Linked DNA regions of Alligator mississippiensis. The protein of the gene in region 2 interacts with the protein of the main gene of each other region in a pairwise test. Links are inferred from orthologs where the notes say so. Each region holds a gene or a part of one and is shown on either strand. Other genes may lie near its edges.

Region 1 (7,414 bases), on a different chromosome or scaffold from region 2:
GCCAAGAGGCGTCCCTACAGGCATTTTGGTTGCCAGCTACACTGACAGAAAGCCACACTTTAGTGGCAATTTTCCCTAAGAAACCTTTTCCTACAATGCCCTTCCATCCAGAAATGTCTTTTCAGACAATAGGAGCCGGGTGCTCAGAGCACACGCAAGATCTGGACCCTCCGGTCACAATACTTCTGATTTTTCTGGGTTGGAGCGAGACCTTTAGCACTATTATGTGTCGTGCTTCCTTCCACTTAATATATCAAGCTGCTGTTTGAAGAAACTCGTAGCCAGGGTAACGTTTCATGGTTACTTTAACAGCAAGATTGCATCCAACAGCAAAGGAGCAATATATTCAGCAGCAGTTTAAAAAAAAAAAAATCACTCCTTACCGACAGAGAAGCTGCACTTGCTGGTATGTGGCTGCTGGGAGCATGTCTGTAACCTCGGTGGAGGGGGATCCCTGCAGATGCCGGTACGCCCCTGCAGCTGGGCTGATTGATGGCAAAGCCCATGGGGAATGGGTGGTACGGGTACATACCCGAATACCCCGGGTACACTTTCGGAGGCTCTCGCTCGAGGAATTCTGGGCTAACCAGGCACTCTGGAGGCAGAGCAGGGTAGGCTGTGAAACAACCAGGAAGGAAAAGTCAAAATAAACACACCAAAAACATCACAATAAATCCAAATACTAAATAAAGACTGACGGTGCCCGATTCTATTCTTAGCCAGTGTAACGGTGCACCGAGCCTGGCCCGTTGGTTTTACATGCAGCTGCTAATCATTTTGGATGTTTTTTTAGACACTTACTACTGGGAAATTAGAAAGGCTGAAAATAAGGAGGTGAAGCAGGTAACAAAGAAAGAGTAAATGGATTCTCTTCTGCCACGCGCATCTGGAAGCAAACTGCCAGCAAACTCCTGCCTGCAGCACCTCCACCTGGAAGTGCTGCTGTAACAAGCATGAAGACAGCTCGATTTCCAGTGGCAGCAGCTGAAATATCATCCCCTTGAAGACTTGCACACCAACAACACTAATTACTTAAGCCAATGCAGGGGAACGAAGCGCCTGATGCTATCTGTCATTGTTATAGGGTTAATTTTTAGAGAGTCAGTTCCCTTTTATTATCATTTAAAACAGACCCCTCACAAGTGATCTTTCTGAGACAGGTGGAGACTCATTTACAGCGAGGCTGCCTGCAGCTTAGCCCCATCCGTACAAATTGCTCCTAGAGATTCACTAGTCTGGTGAGGCTCATGCAAATTAAAATAAAAGAAGAAAGAAACATTCACTGGCAGATCAGCTGATACTGTTAACCTCCCTTTCCTCTGGATCTGCCAAAGCATATGGTCTATCTTTGTCTGTCTTCTTGATTGCTTTTGTCTGAGGGCCCAGCCAACTCCTAGTCTGGGGTTTCAATAAGGAATGAGACTAACCCAGCAGTTCTCAACCTTCGTCGACTCAAGGCACCCCTCAGAAAAAGCCCGCTCTTAGCTTTTAATGCTTTCTCGCCTACAGAAAAACAGCAGAGCATTTCTTCCATTGCAACCAACTCAGAAAGACCACAGCAAGTCAGAAAGGTTTTAACACTACTGATTTTTATTTGCAAGCTCTGGGTCTAGTTGATGAATCGTGTGCGTGCACCTAATAGCGCTACCCTTGTGTGGCATCCCGTGGCACCCTTGAAAGGCTCCCAAGGCACCCCAGCGTGCTGTGACACCCTGCTTAGGAATCACATGCCCAAGACCAGATCGCCAGAAACAATCTGAGAGGCGACAGATGAAACCACCACGACATTTCATAGATTCACAGATTCATAGATGTTAGGGTCAGAAGGGACCTCAATAGATCATCGAGTCTGACCCCCTTCTGCACATAAATATGAAATAAACTTTACACCAAATTATTCCAGCTGAGCCTAGCCCTTATTGCAGCAACCAAGCCCAGATGCCTCCCACTGAGCTTCCCAATTCATTTGCAAGTGCTGGGCTGGGGGGCATATGGCTTTGTGCTGGACAGGATGCGTGCATATTTAAAGTCAGTAACAGCTCAGAAGAGCAATCAAAAGGTGCTGTCCTGGATACTGAGGGCTGTGCTCCCCCCACCCCACTGCCTCCTTTCCCTCCTAAACAGGGAACACAGGCCTGAATTCAGCTTTGAAACAATGAAACGACCACAGGAGCTGCCTGGGATTGTTCCTGCAGCTACAAAGTTCAGGGATGCAGCTCAGAAACTGCAAAACCAAGGTTTTGCACCAAGCACATCCCAAGTGGGGAACAGCTCAGGGCGCACTGGGCCATGGGAGGCCAGGTTGACTTCTGTTTCCCTAGACAGGTGGAAAAGGTAGCTGGACAGATGCTGATCAGACAGCCACCACGGAGAGATGTACAGACAGATGCTGAGTGACGCACAGACAGACAAAAGGAAATGGAGATGGACAGGCAGAAGCGAGCCATCTACAGTAGAGGCTAACAGGACAGATACCCCAGTGCTGTGCTGGTCCCTACCGAAGTCCCCAAAGGGCTGGGAGCCAGGAGCGTCTAGGGCCCTGCGGGTCACCATTCTGCTGCTGCTGCTGCCTGGTCCTGGGACAGCCTTGGCTCCCTCGTGCCCGACCGCGTGGCTGCTCCGATCAGAGGCGCTGGAGCTGACAGCAGGCGTCCCCCGTCCTTCGCCGTGGCCTGGGGTGCAGGGTGCAGGTAGCGACACCACCCCGGGCAGGGGATCTGGGCCCTGCCTCCGCAACGCCTTCTGGGCTGCCATGATCTTCTGACGCTCCGTGATGAGCGCGCATTTCTCGCAAGGGCACAGCTTCCAGCGGCAGTGGCCCGCGTGGCCTTTCACCGGCACCACGAAGCCGTGGTTTCGGCAGCGGGAGCACTTTGGGGTTCGCAGAGCTGCCTTCTCAGCTGCCAGCGCATCCTCGGCCTCCATGGCACTTCCAGCCAGGCAGGCACCTGACAGCCAGGCGCAGCCAGAGCTGGGAGCTGATGTACAAGGCAGGTTGGGACAGCTCTCTCTTGTACCCACAGCTATACAATGTAGCAAGTGAGGCTGCTAGGCCTTGTGCATGGGGAAAGGAGGAGCTCATTTGAGTCCAGCAACTCTGTGCTTGGGGGGCTAGGGAGGATTGTCAGCAGGAGCAGGAGGAGCAATGCTGCAAGGGCTTGCAAGAGACAGCCTTGCTCTGGAGCAAGGAAATCCTGCACATTTGTATGGTGGCTGGGCCAGCGCTACTCCAAAGGCCCTGATCTACTCTCAGACAGAGCCCTCCACTTTCCAAGAGCTGGGTGGGGAGTGGTGGGCAATGCTCTTGCTGGGGGCTGCACAAGGCACTTGTCAAATATTGTCCCTTTCCCATGCAGTTGCATGATCATAAAAGAAAAGGCTGCATGGCTTTGACCAGAAAGTAGACACAGCCAAGTCTGCAAAAACATGGCCTCTAACCCTTTCTGTGCCCGTGCCCTGCGTTTGCATGCGTAGATCGAGTAGAAGCGCACCTGATTTACACCTTTTTCTTCATGCAAGCAGAGCCTTTTTATGCTGCATCTAAGCTGCACTCTCCTGCTTTGGTCATCTACTGCCCATGGCTTCTATCATCCTTTGTAAGAAATTGCACTACCTTGAATGATTTCAGTTCCACTTTGTTTCAAATTTCAACTTTTATTGGGTAAGGGGATTGTCACCGTGTCAGCTTCTTTATTCAGTTCTTCCAAATGTTCAACCAAACCCCACGTTTACAGTCAGGCCAGAAGGCACACCTCATTCCTCTAAGTAGCTCTCTTTCCCCAAATCCTTTATACACTGGAAGCAAGCGTAGGTTTAAAATGGAAAAGGTGCCAATGCACCTGTTTCCATATTTCTTATAAAATGCCCTGTGTCATTTGTTACTGTTAGCAGTTACAAACCCACATCTTATACAGTAGCTCATCAACAGGCACATCTGAGCACCAAGCAGTGTAAGGAATGATACTGCAGATTTTCTTCCCCTCCCAAAGATAAGGGGTAATTTGGGTTTGTCGGTACCACCTCCCCAGGGCTCTTGAGAAAGCTGATAAGAAGCTCCTTCCATCCACTCAACCCTGCTCTGGATGCATTCAACTCAAAAACAAGGTGGTGGAGCTTCAAAATCTGGGAAACAAAACCCTTGGCATGACTTTACTACCTGATTTCTGGGTTTGCTGCTGAAGGAGTGCTCTCAAGAGCCCTAGGGAGGCTCTAGATCAGGGTCAGGCAATTATTTTGGGCAGAGGGCTGCTTATTGAGTTTTGGCAAGCCATCGAGGGCCACATGACAGGCAGCCCAGGGCAGATAAATATTAATTTTCTAAATTTTTTAGGGGCCTCGCAGGCCGGATAGAATGACCCAGCAGGCCGCATCCAGCTCCTGGGCCGCATTTTGCCCACCCCTGCTCTAGAGACAGGTCCCATGATTTTGGCCTTCGGACTGACCTGAAGCCTGTAATTTCGCCCTGTGAAAAGAAACCTGTTCAGAATGAAACAATCTTTAACTGCAAAACAGTTGGCTAATTTTTCATCCATTTCCAGGGAAACAAGGGACAAGCTGAAGTACTTATCTCAGCTGTTTCAAGAGTACATTAATGATGAACTGGCCTTGCTTTAAAGTCATGTTGAAAAATCCCCTCCAGTGGAGGAGGCCCTCTGCATAGTGTAGGTCATAAGGGGTCAGATCTTAATCAAAACTGTTGACTTGAAACTCAGCTACTTAGGACAAGATTTTGGAAAATTCCCGTGTAACTTTGGAGTGTGAGTACCATTGGCTTTCGGGGGCGCTCGACTTCCAAAGGTAATCGCTTCGACCCAAGTCCCATGTTCAAATCCTCAAAGTATCCTAACTCTCATTGATTCCAGCCCTATTCAATTTTTATTTTAGGTGCCCAAAAGCCTTTGAAAATCTCACCTCACCAAAGTCACTTAGTCACTTTTGAAAGTTATTATCCGTAGGCCTCAAGGCAGGAAAGTACCTGACACAAGTGGTTGACTTGAGTTCAGTTAGACTTAAAGCTCACAATGTCCTGAATTGCTGCTATTTTGACTCAGGGCCTTAGAGAGATGGAGAATACTTCTTCAGCCACTCTAAAAACTAACTATACTCTCTATTAAATGTAAGTTGTTGGCAGATTCCAAATGACATCTCCCAATGTCATTGCTAGATGTAGCATGCACTTGCACATTTATCTGTAAAATTAAATCAGATAAACAACATCCTTCTAGGTAAAGGTTGTTATATCTTCCCTGAGATGCCTAATCCATTCATATTCCATCAGACACAGGGTAGGTGAGTTATATGCATTTGTTATAGTAAATTTTGTCCCAGAGCCACATCATATTAATATTGAGGACCTTTAAGCAAGCATATATTGTTTTTTATTCTTGTCTCTCAGGACCAAAACAGCAACTGTGGACACTGATAGTTTCTGCATAAATGATCCCTACTTTTGAAAGGTACCTGCATTTGGTTGTGAACATTTGTCATCGTAGCATGCAGGAATTATTATACCTTCCATATCATTTGTCTCTAACTTGTCTAGACTGGCTTTCTTTAAAGACATGAGTTTTTATTTCACTAGTAAGATGAATACTTTTGCAGGCAGTTTGAGAAGTGCTGCTATTCCCAGTCTGCTGTTCTTTTATATATAAATTTTAGTTAGCTGCCCTATCGCACAGCATTAAGATTGCTCAGCAGAGCAGATGTGCACAATTTATCAAAAGAAATCTTGATTCCCTGTGAATAAAGAAAGTTGTTCTGGCTTAAAGTCTATGACACCATTCCTTTGTCCACTTTTAAAGAACAATTAAATGCAATAAGGAATCTATTTTCTCCAGAATTGGTTTTTAAAATATCTTGGATGAAATATAGAAGAAGTATCGCATTATCTACATGCAGGTAGCATTTTGTAATAAAATAGTTTGCAAAATAGTTTGTCAGGTCAGGTTCACCCATCTCTGTAATTTACAGTAGCCTGCTAACTTCGGCTCTAGAACGTAGCCAAGGGAAGTCCAGCTTCTCCCTGTACGGGTGACCATACGTCCCAGTTTGGCCGGGACAGTCCCAGATTTCATAGGCCAGTCCAAGCCAGTTGGTGAAAATTCAAACAAAAGTCCTGGAATCGGCCACCTAGGCAGAGGCAGGTGGCACAGGGTGCAGGGCAGTGGAGCGGCATGGTGTGCCAGGTGGGCAGGCAGGCACCGGGAGCAAGGCAGGCAGACTGCAGTGATGCCCAGCCCAGCCCCTGCCTCCAGCCACTGCTCAAGTGGAGCCAGGCCAGGTATATGTGGGCAGGGCAGCACCTGCTCCGGTCAACATGCCTTGCTCCTGCATAGCAGCAGCGGTGCCCGCTCGCCCACTTGCCAGAAGCACCATGCTGTTCCACCTCCCTGCCAGACCGCACCCCACGCTCCTGCCCGCCTGCCTCTGTCTCTGCCTGCAGCAGTGCCACTGACTTGGAGGGGGAGAGGGGGTGTTCTTCCTTCATTTGAAACTCAGCGTCCTGGGTTTCCTTAAAAATAATACGGTCACCAAATGTACGGTCTGTACAACTAATGGTCATTTTGCTCTCTCCGAGACTTCAACACACTCTATTCTGTCTGGTCAGTTTATTTTGAACATCAGGTCTTGGCATCTGCACGTCGAACTAGCTGTTCTAATTAGGCTGTCGGTCTTTACTGTATGTCATTTATTAGCGTGTTTGGGATAGAAAGAGATCACCAGCAAAGTCCCAGCTTCCAAGTGCTCCATTTAGCCATGCAGTTGAGGTGGACACCCACCAGAGACCTGTCACAGAGCCACCCATTCAGACTGAACAACCAGCCCTTTTCCCTAGTCTGGCAGGGAGGTGACTTTACCCTCCCAGGCCTTGGTGGGTATTTTTACACAGCTGCATTCAGTGAAACACTGACTTTTATTGTGACAATTTCATAATATCAACCAAAATTCAAAAATTGTTCAAAAGGCCTTTCTAACCCCAACTCATCCCTGTCTCATTGCTTCCTTATACTCCTGCTCATCTGTGTTCATCTGTTGCTGCTTGGGCCGTGTCTACATGAGATGCTGACTGCGTGGTTGTTACTCCCCGCAGGTGGCAGTGCTGGGGTGGAGACAGGGGTCTTGGCTGGCCCGAGACCCAGGATTTTGTTTGCCTAGGGGCCACTAAAGGGTTAATCTGGCCCTGGTCCCCAAACAGCTTTTTGGTGATGCTGACTGCACAGTATCTCATTACTACTGCGCAGTAGCATCACATCACGCTTCATGCCACACAGCATTACTTCACAGTAGTAACGAGCTGCTGTACTGCACAGTAGTGATGAGCTACTGCACAGTCAGTGTCTCGTGTAGACGCAGCCATGGCCTACCTGAGCCTACAAGGTCCATTCCCATAGTGCGGGAACCATGGCTAGCACCC
Region 2 (6,900 bases):
TGGGATGTCATTCTATGTGAGGTATCCTATTCAGCTGAACCTCATGGATTCTAAATAGCATATGCCATAAAGAAAACTGGCTTTAAAAGCTTTGAGGTTTGATTGTAAAAGGGAAAAATGGGATTTTTTACTCTATAGAGCTTTGCAATAACCCTGCTCTCTGTACTAACAAACTACGTAATTCCTAAATTCTTTGTCCAAAAAAAAAAAAAAAAGTATTGTGCTCTTATTTCAAACCATGTACATATTTTCCCTTCTCACTAGATGAACTATACTTATTCAGTTTTAGGAATGATTTGGATCCTAAATTTTAAAAGTAAGATTGTATACTCAGTGATGATAAAAGGAAGTAAAATCAACCAAGTAACTGAGTGCACTTTTTTTTTGTTTTTTTTTTTTACTGCCTTATACATACATCTGTGTTGGCTAAGCCCCCACCTCACTAATGACTAACAGGTGTGTTTTTGCAAAAGCTTTCAAAAATAAAAACCTCCTTTCTAAAAAATACTGTCCGGCACTAACAATACCAGGTCTTCACTGAAAATTTCAAATATTAATAGGCTGTTCTATATTAGCATTTATATTCACTTCAAAACTGTTCTTCTGGTAAGTTTGGTAATACCAAATAAAAATCCAGCTTTTAAAACCAGAATACTGTGTATGACCACCCATTATTTGGCCAACCCAGTGAAGACTAAAGACAAATCAGCTTTATGATACTAAAAGATTACAACACACACACTCATGACATTATTACAAATAAAATTTTTACTGGCGTATGCGTAATTGAAATGTCTCTGATACAACAATCACCTCTGCATTCATAAACGCCTCATAGTATTCTGAACACACACTGCTATAATGAGACTGTCTTCAATTTTGCTTGTTAAAAGGACCTTTAAAGAATGCTAAAGCAGGTCATCACCTTTATGTGAAGAAAACAGTAACAAAAATATTCTGTCGCTGGATATACTGTCTGTCATGTATTTTATTCACTGTCCTTAAATAAACTAAGCTCTAAATATCTGCAATAACCACACTTTTATACCTACTGGTAAACTGCCCCTTTTCGAGAAATAAGTGGTCACTAAAACTAATCGGCAGTAGACATCCTTTATTCTACTGAAAGGTAATTAACCATTACCAAAAATATATGATTAGCAGGTATACAATATCAATCAATGCATTACAGAACTGTAAATGCTTATTTCTTTTGTTTGGTCACGTTATACTTGATCAAGTGTGAATGATTAAAGTGGTTTAATTGGGGCTACATGCATTCATTGGTGGCATGCACCTTCAATGGCAATTATAAGCACATTTGAAAGAAGTGACTTTTCCTGTATTACTTTGAAATCTTCATCTCCTTACACTTTCCTCCTTTACATAATAAAGAGAACACCTCAGCATCAGGCAGGGTATCAAACATTAAGCCACAGCCAGGGTTTACCTTAGGAGTGCAATCTTGATTGAAAGACAAAAGACTACTCCACACGCAGTTAGTTCTTGTTAAAAGAATAAGCTCTTTCAGACCAAATTATACCGCGTAACGAGCTTTAAACCAACACGCTTTAGCGCTGCCACTCTGAAAATGCTCAGAGAAACGTAATTTTGCTTTTGTTGGTGTGATGGGAACAAATACGAAAGTCCAGAGCATGCAAGTAACAATTCTGCATCCTGCAAGGGGGTGGGCAAAACAATAATAGCTGGAAGAGTATTTTACAGCACAGAGATGCGAATCAATGAAGGGAGAGATTTAGTTGCAGCCACCACACACGAGGGGGGGGAAGAAAAATACCCCCCCAAACCAGGAGTTAAGGTGATTCCACCAGCAGGTAAATCTTCCTGTGCAGCGGGACAAGGGGGATTGCTCTCTTGGAAATCAGCAGTGGAAAACAGCCGCTCAACTTTGCTAAACACGGGCTTAGTGAAAAAGCACTAGATTTCTCTTCCAACACAGCCTGGAGGAGATGCCTGGGGAGGGTGCGGGGTGCTGTCACACACAAATCTCTACTGTAGCCAGAGGAGTTGCTAAGTGACTGGCTGCATCTTCATTTTTTTTTTTTTTTTTTTTTGCAGGGCCTGTGTATCCATGAGGGGCGACTCGTGGCCCTGGGCTGCATTTCCAGCCCCCCTCCCTCAGCACTGCGAAGGGGGAGGGCGGCCGGCACGGCCTGCACCGCGGAGCTGCCAGCGCCTGCCTTCCCGGACACGCCTGCCCTGGGAGGGAGCCTCCCCCTGGCCGCTCGGCCAGCGCCGCCGGCCCCTCCGCGCCCAGCGCTGAGGAATAATGCGAGCACAACAACTCTGCCCATTGTTCGCGCCAGGACGGCTCCCAACTTTCCCATTGTTGCTGCAAGTGCGGCGGGAAGTGCCGCGGACGGGAGCAAACCCCGGGGCGAGGGAGGGAAGATGGGATGGGATGGGAAGGAGAGAAGCCGCCCCTTCCCCTTCGCCTTCCCCCTGCCTCCTCCCGGCCGAGACTTTGGCAGCCCGCGCTAATCCTCCGGCAGATGCTGCCCCTCGCCCAGCCAACAATGCGCGCCCGGCACAACAAAAGGCTCCCGCTCCCCTCGGCCCGGGGGCAGCTGCAAACTTCTCCCGCCTCCCGCCGAACAAAAAGCCAAGGGGGAGGCGGCCAAAGATGTCCTCGGATTATTTGTGGCCCCCCCCGCAACCCCGGCCCCCCAAGCCCCGCAGCCGCAGCGCCGCAGCCGCAGCCCTACCTCGTGCTCGGATCCGCGGGCAGCGCCGGCCCCGCGCTCAGCGCTGCATCGCCCCGCGGGGCTCCGGCTGCCGGAGATCCACCTTAAAATGACACACACGCACCGCACAAAAACTTAATCCCCCCCTTTGCCTCCTCCTCCGCCTCCGCCTCCTCCCGCCCCGGGGAAGGCGCTGGGCGGGCGGCAGGAGGAGGATGCTGCCGCTGCCAATTGCAACTTGGAGCTGCAGGGTGGGGGAGAAAACGAGCGGGGGGCAGCGCTCGCCTCGCCTCGCCTCTCCTCTCCTCTCCTCCCCGCTCGCTCCCTTCTTCTTCTTCTTCTTCTTCTCCTTTTTTTTTTTTTTTTTTTTGGCAAGAGGCGGGGTCTCCTCCTTGCAAACCAATGACACAAACCCACATGCACCGGCCTCGCCCCCTACAGATACTCCTCACTACAAATAGGCTCTCTCCGGGGATTAGTGGATCAGCTAAAGTACAAACAGACGCAGCAAGGAAGAAAGAGGAGGGGAGGAAGGAGGAAGGGAGAGGAAGGGGGCTCCCCTGCCCTCCCACCTCCGCCACTGGCACATCAAGTTGGAAACTGCAAGGGAGTGGGCGATGCCGCCCTCCCCACGCCCCTGGTGTGCCCGCTCCCCTGCCCTGGCCCTTTGCGGCCTGCAGCGGACATGGCCAGGCTCTTCATCCCTGGGAGACCGAGGGCCTGGCAGGCAGCCCCCTGGAGCAGAAGCCTCTGCGCTCCCTGCAAAGGGGGATTCGGGGGCACGTTCAGCTGCATTCGGTTATTGCTTCTTGGCCTCTTGAAGGCTCAGATCAAGCATAGCAGTTGCTTAACCTGGCAGGGGAAATAATACTCTGTGTGTGTGTGTGTGTCCAAGAAGGCAGTTTTCCTGAACCCCCTGGCAGCAGAGCTGCTCTCCTGGCATGGTTCGGTACCAGTTTATGGAGATGGGAGTCTCCTCCCTTACTTGTTCCTAGGGCAAGCAAAAGTCAGGGGCATCCGAACCCCAAGCCTGCAAGTAGGATGCCTGCCAAAGGTTTCGGAAACATCTAAAACCCCAGGTGCGGGTGGAGGATGTTTGCAGGTAGCAGTGCCACTTATGGTTTTGGATTTGGAATTAGTTTTGGCTAATTTGGCCTCAGATGCAAATTATATTAAAAAAAATTGACTTTGACCAATTGTAGCCACTCCACTGAGGCATAAGTGTGGCCTGGCACTGGGCCACTGTGGTGGGATACTGGGGTGCTGAGGCAGCCCATGTGTGTTGGTTGCATGCACCTCAGCAGTGACCCCAGGGAAGCTGGTGAAGGGTGCAAGGCCTAAGACACAGCAGGAGCACCACAACCAGGTGTGCATTGTCACAACAGCCGTGCAGGACTCACCACTGGTTTTGTCAGCATCGCAGTGAAATATGTGCCTGACGGTACATGAAGCTGTAACGGGCTTCTCATGCTTGTTTTAAGATATTAGTCTGCAAAATACACGTAAGGTTTTCCGTAATGAGCACTGCAGCCAGCACTGCTCAGGTCTAGGCCATGCGCGTGAAGTCCATGTTACCCCTGGAAACCCCTCAGAGTCATCAATGTTTCTTTCCACCTAAGATCATTTGAGTGTGTCACACATTTGTTGCTCCATACAGAGCAGATGTAATTTGAAATTGATGGGGGGGCACTTAGGATAAAGGCCACCAGACATGCTGAGCCCCTTCTGTTGACATCTTAAATAGAAAGGGGTTGGCGCATGCACGCCCACTGAGCACCAAATTTGATATGAATATCATATAATCACGTTGTGGTTTTTGGCTGAATGGGAGATAACAAAAACACTCAAACAGGCATTTAGTTGTATTCTGCGTTACACCTTATATTTTGGGGAATTAAGGTTTTGACAGACATTCATCATTTGCTTATCACAAGGATGTGGGCAGGTGGTGATCTTATCTTTTTGTTATATAACTGCTGGGCTTTCCATATCATATGTAATCCAATCATATAGAATTTCAATCCTAGTGGAAAAAACAGATTCCTTTTCTAGTCAAATAAAAACCTTGAACCAGACCATTTATCCATCGAAATTCATAAGGATACTTTGATTTTCATCTCAGGAATTACAAGGTAAACGTATAAAATGCTTCTCATCAGTAAACTGTAGGTTCTTTTTAGGTTTCAACATCGTACCCATTACCAGGATTCAAACCACCTGATGCTGAGAACCAAGACCTCATTCCTGCGACCACTTGAATGTGTTACTAACCCTAGTTCAGCAGAATTACCCATGGTGTTAAGCATTTGGAGGGTCAAGGTCCATGTTTGTATGCAAATGACAGTTTACTCACTTGGGAGTAGTAGTTTATTTACAGCTTTCACAAAAATGCTACAAGGAATCTCATAGGTATATTTGCACTATTTTTACAAAGAATAATAACTAAAATCAAATACAATTCCCTGTTTCTAATTTTTTATTCCACTATTTTATATTGCATAATTTTATTTCTTTTATGTATCATCATATATCATGTTCAGTTTTACTTGTGTTTAAATTAGTAGGAAGTATGATTTTATTGCATGCTTTTACCAATTGCAACAAATCGTGTAATTTTATTATTATATCATTTTGTTGTTAATTCTATTGTTATTTTAGTGAAAGCTGGAAATAAACTACTGCTGTTGGCAGTTATGAAAAGAATTGGGAAATCATGCCATGAGCCAAAGATTCAAAATTACACTGGCTCCAACTACATGCCTCAGGACAGATTTTAGCAAAATACAACTTCTGACCCAGTTCCCTGCCTTAGACGTTTTGCTCTGGGAAAGTTCCATGAAGAGAAAGCTCTAGCACTCTAGAACAGTATTTTATAGTGACCATCAAATACATCTCAGGTCTTTTCACTGTTAATAATTCTGCTGGCAATCAAAAATATTAAGGGTAGATCATCAGCTAGCGTAAACTGTCCCACAATGGTGCTATGACAGCTTACACCAGCTGAGCATCTGCCTGCTGTATTTTAACAATTTTTTTTCAACCATACTCACCATCTTGTTTTGCTTTCTCTCACTGCTAATTCATGTGTGTTTGTATTCGTTTGCACAAAACCATCCATGCAATCTATGGTGCTGCAGGAATCAACAATAATATAATTCAGAATAAATAATGTTGAGTTTATGAAATAAATGTGGTTGGTAACATATGCTGAGGTCATAAACACAAAATAGTTATTTCACTGGAAGAGCAATTAGATGCCAGGTTGTAAGAAAGAAAGCTCTTATGAAAACACGTATCTTCAAAATTAAGAAGGGAAATATGGGAAACATCAGGTGAAGTCAATTATTTTTTCCACAAATTACTTCTTGTTACTAGTACACATTTTTCAGATTTTCCAAATATGAAAGAATTTTGGGGAAAAAGATATCTGTCCAGATCCAAGAAGAGCTTTATGTTCCTGAAGTGGGATTTATGCAGAATTCAAATGCCTAAGTTCAAGCTGCAGTATTGAAGGCCCCTATTCTGGATGAGCCTAGATACTTGAGGTTTCTTATATTTTTACAGTAAAGTTTCCCAGCTCCCAAGAGTTTTGCATTTGTGCATGCCCAGAATTTCCCCATCTTGACATGACTTTACTGGTCAGCACTTAGCTCATGCCTCAACCTGAACAGAAACCCTGAACCTGAGCAGGCCACCGTCTAAAATTCCCGAGAGGCTCAACCCAGTAGGCATTCCTAGATTAAACCTAGCACATGGCAACAGGATCAGGCTTCTCAAAAAACAGTAGCTGGCTGTTCTGATATTTTATCTAAAAACCCATTTGATGTAAAATAATTGAAACTGGAAAAGTGCCCTAGCCCAGTGGTTCTCAGCCTTTTTAGACTCATGGCACCCCTCATCAAACACACGGCAGCCTTTGGAAAATATCAGTTTTTAGCTCATTGTTTGGAGCCTATGGAAAAATAATAGAGCAATTCTTCTGTTGCAAAGAACTCAGACCATAGCAGCTAAGAAATGCTTTTGACACAATGGATTCCTATTTGAAATCTCTGGGTTTATCTTGGGTATCATGTAGGTTCACACACCTAACAGTACTAACACTACCTGGCACACTGTGGCACCCTTTAAAGGCTTCAAAACATACCTGAAGGCACCTATACACATGCTCGATTAATTGAGTCTGCTGGAGCGTTTT

What was found.
Region 1: the proteins of CTBP2 (region 2) and DMRTB1 interact in a two-hybrid assay, tested with the Homo sapiens proteins (2 studies listed by BioGRID). The two-hybrid records come from large-scale screens. The link is inferred for Alligator mississippiensis from reciprocal best matches to the Homo sapiens genes CTBP2 and DMRTB1.

Annotation. Positions count from the first base shown.
Region 1 is NC_081828.1:10,117,494-10,124,907, reverse strand, and holds the start of DMRTB1 (doublesex- and mab-3-related transcription factor B1), read right to left. Parts: upstream 3,011-7,414; 5' UTR 2,926-3,010; coding exon 2,499-2,925; intron 617-2,498; coding exon 384-616; intron 1-383.
Region 2 is NC_081829.1:82,166,161-82,173,060, reverse strand, and holds the start of CTBP2 (C-terminal-binding protein 2), read right to left. Parts: upstream 3,008-6,900; 5' UTR 2,727-3,007; intron 1-2,726. UniProt on the Homo sapiens protein: Corepressor targeting diverse transcription regulators. Functions in brown adipose tissue (BAT) differentiation. Isoform 2 probably acts as a scaffold for specialized synapses.